Linked DNA regions of Drosophila melanogaster. Changing the gene in region 1 together with any one later gene gives a genetic interaction. Each region holds a gene or a part of one and is shown on either strand. Other genes may lie near its edges.

Evidence for each region.
Region 2: of PTPMT1 (region 1) and TER94, changing one suppresses a phenotype caused by changing the other (phenotypic suppression), as found in Drosophila melanogaster (one study listed by BioGRID).

Annotation. Positions count from the first base shown.
Region 1 is NT_033777.3:23,756,706-23,760,416, reverse strand, and holds PTPMT1 (protein tyrosine phosphatase, mitochondrial 1), read right to left. Parts: upstream 2,079-3,711; 5' UTR 1,901-2,078; coding exon 1,889-1,900; exon of another isoform or gene 1,860-1,888; intron 1,810-1,859; exon of another isoform or gene 1,643-1,809; coding exon 1,499-1,642; intron 1,440-1,498; coding exon 1,122-1,439; intron 1,060-1,121; coding exon 931-1,059; 3' UTR 811-930; downstream 1-810. Other genes in the region: SdhD (succinate dehydrogenase, subunit D), read left to right, coding at 57-172, 245-432, 494-695; Hrd3 (HMG-coA reductase degradation 3), read left to right, coding at 2,779-3,220, 3,274-3,711.
Region 2 is NT_033778.4:9,988,169-9,994,173, forward strand, and holds TER94 (transitional endoplasmic reticulum 94), read left to right. Parts: upstream 1-2,034; 5' UTR 2,035-2,129; coding exon 2,130-2,221; intron 2,222-2,302; coding exon 2,303-2,405; intron 2,406-2,491; coding exon 2,492-4,528; intron 4,529-4,594; coding exon 4,595-4,749; intron 4,750-4,815; coding exon 4,816-4,909; 3' UTR 4,910-5,391; downstream 5,392-6,005.

The DNA.
Region 1 (3,711 bases):
TGGACGCAAAACAGCTTTCATTATATAACCAAACCGTTTGTTGGTATCCCAATTAGCCGCAAATCTTGTTAAGTCGGCTCGCATCACTCCCCTGAAGAGCTACTCCACCCTGGTGGCCAATGTCCAGCGGAAGGCGGTGGTCCAGCCCCTGGCCGTGGCCAAGATTGTAGCGGTAAGTGTTTAGAGTTGAAAAATTCAGTGGTGGCTAATCATACTAAATGGTAATCCTCGACTGCTTATGCAGCCCGTCGTGCGCGAGATCTCCGTGAGTGCGCCCCGCATGGCTTCCGCTGGATCCAGCCACACCCTGCTCTGGACTGTGGAGCGAATTGTGTCCGCCGGCCTACTGGCCGTCATTCCAGCTGCCTTCATAGCTCCATCCCAGGTATTGGACGCCCTCATGGCCATCTCTGTCGTCATCCACACCCATTGGTAAGATATCCTTGAGGAAAATTAAACCTTTACTTATATTTTCCTCATTCACCAAACGCAGGGGCGTGGAGGCCATGGTAGTTGACTACATGCGGCCATCTGTCGTTGGAAACGTCCTGCCCAAGGTAGCCCACATTGCGCTGATCATCATCTCGGTGGCCACGCTGGGCGGCCTCTTCTACTTCATCCAAAATGATGTGGGTCTGGCCAATGGTATCAAGCGCTTCTGGGCCATCAAGGGCAAGGATGCCGAGAAGGCTTAAATGTCAAAGGAGCAATCAGTTGATGAACCACGAAACACCAGTTATTTATTCATAGTTTCGCGATAAGCATTAAATAAAGAATTGTAAAAAGTCACAGCTGCACAGAGCGGGTTTTGTAGAAAATTGTATATTCAACAAGAAAATCAGCACTAAAGTAGTTGGGTAACAGGCACCACCTTTGTTACGTATGGTAATCTACTGTAAACAATAAATTTGGGCTATTGTCCAGGTTTGGTCATGATTTCGTCTCCACATTGTTTGTGTAGAATAACCGGAGGGCATCCCATTGTTTGGTGTGCAGCAGAATGTGCGGTCGGCACTTACGCATGTGGTCAACCGCCTGATCCGGAGTCCATCCGTTCTTCTGCAAAGGATAAGTTGTGAGCTTTTTTTTAAGAGCTACGTGCAAATAGATAACCAACCCACCATCATGAGGTAGCATCCCACCAAAGTGGCACTTCGCGTCCTACCAGCCTTGCAGTGCACATAGACAGAACCCACGTTCTCCGGCTGGTAGGAGGAACTTAGGCCACCAATTCTTTGCTTTAGAGGCAGGAACTTGTTTATGAATTCCACGCCGCGGAAGAGCTTTTCTTGATTGGGCGACTCAAAGATGTCGGTGGTGGCCAGCTGCAGGAACTCAATGCCAAGCTTTCGCCACTTCTCCGTGTTGTTGGAGAAGGCGGTCAGCTCATAGTCCTCGTTCATCGACACCACCGCCTTCATGTTCTCCTTTTCAATGAGCTGAGCGGTTAAACAAGGATTTAGAAGGATTTCAGGCTTGGTTCCGTGGGGATACTTACGTCATTGGCCTGGCTGCGAAAGGGCAGTGCTCCCAGTATCACATGCTCATCGATGCGATCGTACCAATTCCTGGCCGATGCCTTTTCCATCAGGACATTGTACAGCAGGGTGGGGTAGAAGGAAACGCGTGCGAACATGGCAGCCTGAAATAACAGGTGTCGACTGGAGGATTAGGAATCGGGGCACAGGTGGCGGTTACTAGGTAGCGAACGTAGCGAACGCAACAGCTGTAACTTTCACCAGCACTAACGGCTGAGCTCGAAGAGTGATTCGCTGTGCGACTCACTCGGTTGAAGCGCGGGTTGGAACTGGTTTCGGTTTTCAATTTGGTTTTGGGCTGTGACTTTTGGGTCTGGGTGTCTGGCACGCAGGTCGCAGCTTCTACTTACACTCATCTCCATGCCGGCTGCTCAGTGGCTGACTTGGATTGGACGAGACAAAAGTTGGTGATTCACACGGGCGGAAATCTTCCTCGTATTCTAATTATTCCCGCTCGTAATTATCACTTTCGATTGCGCGTCAACAGTTCCAATTCAGATTTCCTTCTGGTTAAACTCTGCGCGTTCCTTTGCATAACGAAACAACAGCCGGAAAATCCAGGGGCGTAGCTAGCAAGCCCTGGGAATTTTTCGGGGTAAGACATTCTAGACGTTAACTATCGCAGTTGCCCGGGAAATAATTGTTGAGCATAATTTCCACATTTTGGTGCATATACGTTTTAAAGAAATGTACAAATATTTTTAAAATTTTATGTTTTACCGTCAGGCTTAGGCAAATTGTAATATTATTAAATGTAGCTTGTAATAATAAAAAAAAGTTGTAATTAAGTTTTGATATCGTCCTGACTAAATATTTATAAGCCTGTCTCGATTTTATTACTCCTTTTTAATTCGCGAAAATATTTTTGGAGACGCCCCTGGAAAAGACTGTTTTAGACGCGGTGCTTTGCAGCACTGGCACACAAACCTCGGCCCGTTCGCAGCACTAAGCATTGCAACAAAAAAGATTAAAAAGAATCTTACGTGTGAAAAATTAAGGAAACCGAACCAAGGTATTCCAACCACCACCAAGTCGAGGTGGCCAAAATGAGCTACCAGTAAGTCAAACGAATCCACCCAGAAGCAGCAATCCACTCTTTTTGCCGACCCTGCGCCCCAAGAAAACAGTAAATAACACAACACGTCAGAAGTGGAAGAGCACCATATAGACGCAGCAAAGGCGAAGACCAAAATTGCCGTTGTACATCCACATTGCCATCGAGAAAGGCAGATAGGCGACGATGAAGGCCAACAGCTGGATGTGCCTGCTGGCGCTGCTTCTCGCCTGGCAGCTGCGAGCGGAGGAGCTCCAAGGGCCCAACATTGATGGTACGGGCAGCAGTTTGGGTTCGGCCACAGGTACGGGTACGGGAACGGGATTGGGCACGGGAACAGCCACGCCAACGCTGCCCAATGAGCCCTCCACCCAGGCGGAGGCGGAGGAGGTGACCACGGCGGAATCAGAGTCGCGGGTTCCGTCGGAAAGCAACGAACGCAAGGCAGACAAACCCAAGGAGTCCACAAAGTTTGCTTCCAGGACGAAGGTTATGCCGGCTTCCCTGTTCGAACGCCTGTGGAACGAAAGTCTGATCAGGCGGCAAAAGCTGAAAGCCGAGATCGAGCGCATCGAAGCCAAACGCAAATCCACTGAAGTGTTAGAACTTACCCCAGACCAAATAGAAGGTAAGTGGGCATCGTTTTATTTGTTTTGCAGTTGCTGATTGCAATTTTTCCAGCTCAAACCGTGTACGACAACGCAATGGACATGTTGGCCAAGCCAAGCACGGATAAGCGAGTAGCCATGATTTTGCTTAAGAAGGCTGCTGCATTTAATCACCTCAAGGCGAGGGCGGAACTAGCCTGGGCCGCCCTACTGGGTCAATGGATGGACTTTGATTTCAACCATGCTGTCGATGAGTTTGAGAGTCTGGCCAACGAAGGCGTCCCAGAGGCTCACATGGGCCTGGGATTCCTTTATTCGGTGGGCGTTGGCGGTAAAAATGTAAGCCAGCCCCTGGCACTGATCCACTATAGCCTGGCTGCCCTCGGTGATAATACTCCGGCGCAAATGGCCATGGGGTATCGCTATCTTTATGGCATCAATGTGCCCATTAGCTGTGAGAAGGCGCTGATCCACTACAAGCGAGTAGCCAAAAAAGTGGCTTCCAAGATAA
Region 2 (6,005 bases), on another chromosome or scaffold:
GTCAAGTAGTATCTTCACAATAAGTATAATACAGAATCAAGATAGTAAAATAAAACAAAAAATCGTGTGAATAAATCAGAGCTAAAGACGTCGGACTGTACAGCAGAGTTTGGTGGAAAAGAGAGAAAAGCGAGGAGAGCGCTGTTTGCATCATACACCGCAATGAATGAGTGCCCCATAATTGTGACTTTGGGTCTGAGGCGGTTCCGCTGCCCTGCCCCCCGCTCTTCGCTGCTTCCTGCGCCGCGGAAGGCGACGGCCATCTTTATCAGCCACCCCGACTCCCCACTCCTCTTCATCGTCACCCTCATCGTCACAAAAACTGGTTTCCGCTCGCCACTTTCTTTTGCTCTCTGCGCAGGCGCTCTTCGAAGACAAGAGACTTGCAGGCGATTGGTTGAATTCGTTCTGCGTTTCTATGGAGTTTGCTCCCATTCTTTTGGGGGCAGCGACCACGCCCAATGACGCTGCTCTCCTCTCTGCCGACGTCGCTGTCACTCTCTTAAGTACTAAAAAATAAAACTGAAAGTAAAGCTAAATAAAACGCTGCCATAATTGGCATCGTTAATGCCAAAACCATGAATACTAAAAAGTTTTTACGAGCATAAGCTGCGATTGAGCAGTTATTGTAGGGACAGGTTGATGGCCGAGTGTTCTAGGGAAATGAATGAATGAAGATTTTTTCTTACTACCAAAACTTCTACAACTAAGTGAAATAGACGGATTGAGTTCTACATACTTCCTACATATATTTTAGATATAGACATAGCCGAAAAGTATGCTGCACTTTTTCAATAAAAACGTAAGCAGCTACGTTATCACGCATGGCTTCATAGCAGCGATCATCTGCCAGCGAGCATAGCCAAGTTAGGCACCTGCACACATTGCCACTCTTTCCTTTAGCGTTGCCACTTCAATTTCTTTTACAAACCATCGCAGCGTGTAATCGATATTTTCTAAGCCCAATCGATGAATGTCCGGTAACGCACATCACCAATCTGTTTCTGCTGCCTCATCTTTGAATTTGACTAAAAGTGCCGATTTCCAGCTCAACGAATAGTCCAAGTCGCGCCGAATTGTACAATTAAGTTAAAAAGTTCAACGTCAACTAGTTTATCATGGCAGATTCCAAGGGGTAAGTGAACTGGACGCCGAAATAGGCGCCGACTGTGTCGGTCCAAGTCGAAATTCACAAATTTCGCTCAGTCATTGAGCCGAAAAAAATACGCAAGGGCCACATCGCAGACATACTATTATTTAATTGTGAAAGGCTTTCGCCGATTTCCGCGAGACAAAGACATTTACCGCGACTTTTCCACTGCTCGGTTGCAAAATGTTGCGAAACTAGGGCAAACCTAAAAACCGAAGAAAAAAAAACGCCAGCGAGAATCGCCATTTGCAGTACGTTGTTGTTGTTGTTGGTGTTACTGCCCTTGCAGTTGTTGTTGCCGCTTGAAAACTTACGATTTCCCTTTGTTGTCCCAAAAATACAAGTCATCCTTTGCTGGAGGATACAATTTTCCGGTTGTTGTAGTTATAACTTTGGATACGAAAAACAATACTGCATACATATATGGCAGCTATTTCTATAATAAATCGCGAAAATCCTAAACTATATGCCGAAACCACTTATTTCAATGCTACCTATTAGTAATACCTTTTTTGATATTGCATTAATTCTAGAAAAGTCTTTGTGCTCCCTCAACTCGCCAGAAGTAAAAAAAAACATATCGTTTAAGTAACAATAAATGCATAATTTACCTCAAAGTTTAGAAATTATTATAACAAATGGCGCCAAAAAAGTTGGCATCGAATACAAGAAATACAAACATACTTTTATAACTAAAGACAATAAACAATTGTACTATTATTCCGATTAATATAGATTTTTATGAACGATATAGGGTGATAACCTTTTATGTTCAAAAATCTATCAATAAAGATTGATCGACATCATCACGTTAGCAACGAAAAATGATTCGGCAGGCCTAATTATCCAGATGCTTAGTTCCATTCCGTATTACTAGTGAAAGTAGTTTCCATAAATTTATCAAAACTAACAAAAAAGGCAATCCAAAAAAACAAAAAAAAAAACAAAAAAAACAATGTCTGGCGGCAAGAACGATAAGATGGATCATGATGGGGATACGAGGGACTTTATGCGGGGATATCACAGCGAGCAGGATGAGAAAATGAAGCCGAAAGACTCGTTCGATAAGCGGTTAGGCCAAATTATATATAAGACATAAGATATTTCTTTAGCGACGAGTCTTACGCGATGCTTTTTTCTTCTACCCTACAGTGAAGATCTGGCTACGGCGATCCTGAAGCGCAAGGACCGTCCCAACCGACTGATTGTGGAAGAGGCGCAGAATGACGACAACTCTGTGGTGTCGCTATCGCAGGTAAGATTCACTCTCCCAAAGGCCACGTCATCGCATGGCTAATTCACATGACTTGGCTGTTCTTTTTCCCCCTTAAACTATATCAGGCGAAGATGGATGAGCTGCAGCTCTTCCGTGGCGACACCGTGATTCTGAAGGGCAAGCGCCGAAAGGAGACGGTGTGCATCGTGCTCTCGGACGACACCTGTCCCGACGAGAAGATCCGCATGAACCGCGTGGTGCGCAACAACCTGTGCGTCCATCTTTCAGATGTGGTTTCCGTGCAGTCCTGCCCGGACGTCAAGTACGGCAAACGGGTGCGCATCCTGCCCATCGACGAAAGCACCGAAGGCGTTACCGGCAACCTGTTCGAGATCTATCTGAAGCCGTACTTCCTAGAGGCCTATCGGCCAATCCACATGGGCGACAACTTTATTGTGCGCGCCGCCATGCGTCCTATTGAGTTCAAGGTGGTGCTGACCGACCCGGAGCCCTACTGCATCGTAGCTCCCGAGACGGTAATCTTCTGCGACGGTGATCCAATTAAGCGCGAGGAGGAGGAGGAGTCCCTAAACGCCGTTGGCTACGATGATATCGGTGGTTGCCGCAAGCAGCTGGCCCAGATCAAGGAGATGGTTGAGTTGCCTTTGCGGCATCCATCGCTCTTCAAGGCCATTGGTGTGAAGCCACCGCGTGGTATTCTTATGTACGGTCCCCCGGGTACCGGTAAGACCCTGATTGCCAGGGCTGTGGCCAACGAGACCGGAGCCTTTTTCTTCCTGATTAACGGACCGGAGATCATGTCCAAACTGGCCGGAGAGTCGGAATCGAATCTGCGCAAGGCCTTCGAGGAAGCCGAGAAAAACTCGCCGGCTATCATCTTCATCGATGAGATCGACGCTATTGCCCCCAAGCGTGACAAGACCCACGGTGAGGTGGAGCGTCGCATTGTGTCGCAGCTTTTGACCCTGATGGATGGCATGAAGAAGAGCTCCCATCTGATCGTTATGGCTGCTACCAACAGGCCCAACTCCATTGACCCGGCCCTGCGTCGCTTTGGACGTTTTGATCGTGAGATTGACATCGGCATTCCAGATGCCACTGGACGGCTGGAGGTGCTGCGCATTCACACCAAGAACATGAAGCTGCATGATGATGTTGACCTGGAGCAGATTGCTGCCGAATCCCACGGACATGTGGGCGCTGATCTGGCTTCACTCTGCTCTGAGGCTGCCCTTCAGCAAATCCGTGAGAAGATGGACCTCATCGATTTGGAAGACGATAAGATCGATGCCGAGGTGCTGGCGTCGCTGGCCGTGACAATGGAGAACTTCCGCTACGCTATGACCAAGTCCAGTCCATCGGCGCTGCGTGAAACTGTTGTTGAGGTGCCCAACACCACCTGGACAGACATCGGAGGTCTGGAGAGCGTCAAGAAGGAATTGCAGGAGCTGGTGCAATACCCAGTGGAGCATCCGGACAAGTTCTTGAAGTTTGGCATGCAGCCCAGTCGCGGTGTCCTTTTCTACGGACCCCCTGGTTGCGGTAAGACGCTGCTGGCCAAGGCCATTGCCAACGAGTGCCAGGCGAACTTCATCTCAGTCAAGGGTCCCGAACTGCTGACCATGTGGTTCGGCGAGTCTGAGGCCAACGTGCGCGACATCTTCGATAAGGCCCGCTCGGCGGCTCCTTGTGTGCTCTTCTTCGACGAGCTGGACTCGATCGCCAAAGCCCGTGGCGGTAATGTCGGCGATGCTGGCGGCGCCGCTGATCGTGTGATCAATCAGATCCTTACCGAAATGGATGGCATGGGAGCCAAGAAGAATGTGTTCATCATCGGAGCCACCAATCGCCCGGACATTATCGATCCGGCCATCCTCCGTCCGGGCCGTCTGGATCAGTTGATCTATATTCCGCTGCCCGACGACAAATCGCGTGAGGCTATCCTGAAGGCTAACTTGCGCAAGTCGCCGCTGGCCAAGGAAGTAGACCTTACCTACATCGCCAAGGTGACGCAGGGCTTCTCTGGCGCCGATCTGACCGAGATCTGCCAGCGGGCTTGCAAGCTGGCCATCCGACAGGCCATCGAGGCTGAAATTCGTCGCGAGAAGGAGCGCGCCGAAAATCAGAACTCCGCGATGGACGTAAGTCATTTAGCTTAGCGCAAAAAATAAGAATGTTTATGTTTGACTATTTACCCATATAATCAGATGGACGAGGACGATCCAGTGCCGGAGATTACTAGCGCCCACTTCGAGGAGGCCATGAAGTTCGCTCGCCGTTCGGTGTCCGATAATGACATCAGGAAGTACGAGATGTTTGCCCAGACTTTGCAGCAGTCCCGTGGATTCGGACAGAACTTCAGGTGAGAATTGAAAGGCATTTCTTGTTGGAATCCAGGTTACTGATGATAGTGTATATGTTATTGCAGATTCCCCGGTCAAACCGGCAACACCTCAGGATCTGGTAACAACTTGCCAGTTAACTCGCCCGGCGACAACGGCGACGATGATCTTTACAGTTAGATTTCTAGTTTTACACCGCAAAACAAAACCACAAAATGGAACTTTTTAAATGAATTTTTTCCGTAAAACCGAGCAAGCAAAACCAATCACATTCGCATCCTGGACGCGGTAACTTACTACAGCAACCATTGGCTAAGACATCCAGCCGATGGCGAAATCAGATGACATACCCGATTCAATATTCACTTCTTTGATACCATCCTTACTCTTGGTCGCGGATACGTGCAGTAGGAGAAGGTTCCCATTTGGATTTGGGCTCGCCTAATCCGAAACCATTTTAATTGGCGAACTATTCCGCGCCTCACACTAATCATTCGTGCATTGTCGGTAGAGTGGCTCCGATATATGAGTTTCTATAAACATAATTATTAACGATACACATACACACATACATTTAAAGATAAATACATATATTAAACACCGTAAAATTATAAGTGTATTTGGAGCTACATTTTTAAGTGAATAAAAATTATAAATTCAACAAAATCATGTGCTTTAAATTGAAGAAATATTGAAAAATAGACGCAACGAGGTAATTGGGTGTTGAGATTAAAGAGCAAGAGTTACATAATCAATTATTTATTTTTGATAAGGTTCACTAGCAAAGTGGAACGTTGCTTTATTTTAACTGATCATTGGCCACAGTGCAATAAAATGCGTAATAAATTAAATTGGTCGGTACTCGTATGAGTGCAGTGAAAAAATATGTCTTCGTGCCTCGATTTCTGCAAGTCCAATTTAGTCATCAAGAGTACTAACCAAATCCATACTGTTCCCATTTGAAAATATCATTTCATTTGTTTTATCGCATTTATTAAACTTGTATTAATTCGTCATGTTTGCTTTTTCTGGTTTTCAATTGTTTTTTCACTTTTATTTTTATTAATTCTTTGCGACATAACAAGGACATCTTAATATGAAGTTAGTTGAATTCTTTCATATTTAAATAATCATTATCGCTTCGGTCTTATAAATAAACTTTCTTTGCCATTCTTTTAACCGCTCGTTAATTAAATCAATGTTTTGGCATCGGTAAATGATAATAAGGGAAATAATATTAATAATAATGTTAATGGCAAAAGCAGGAAACTTTGAA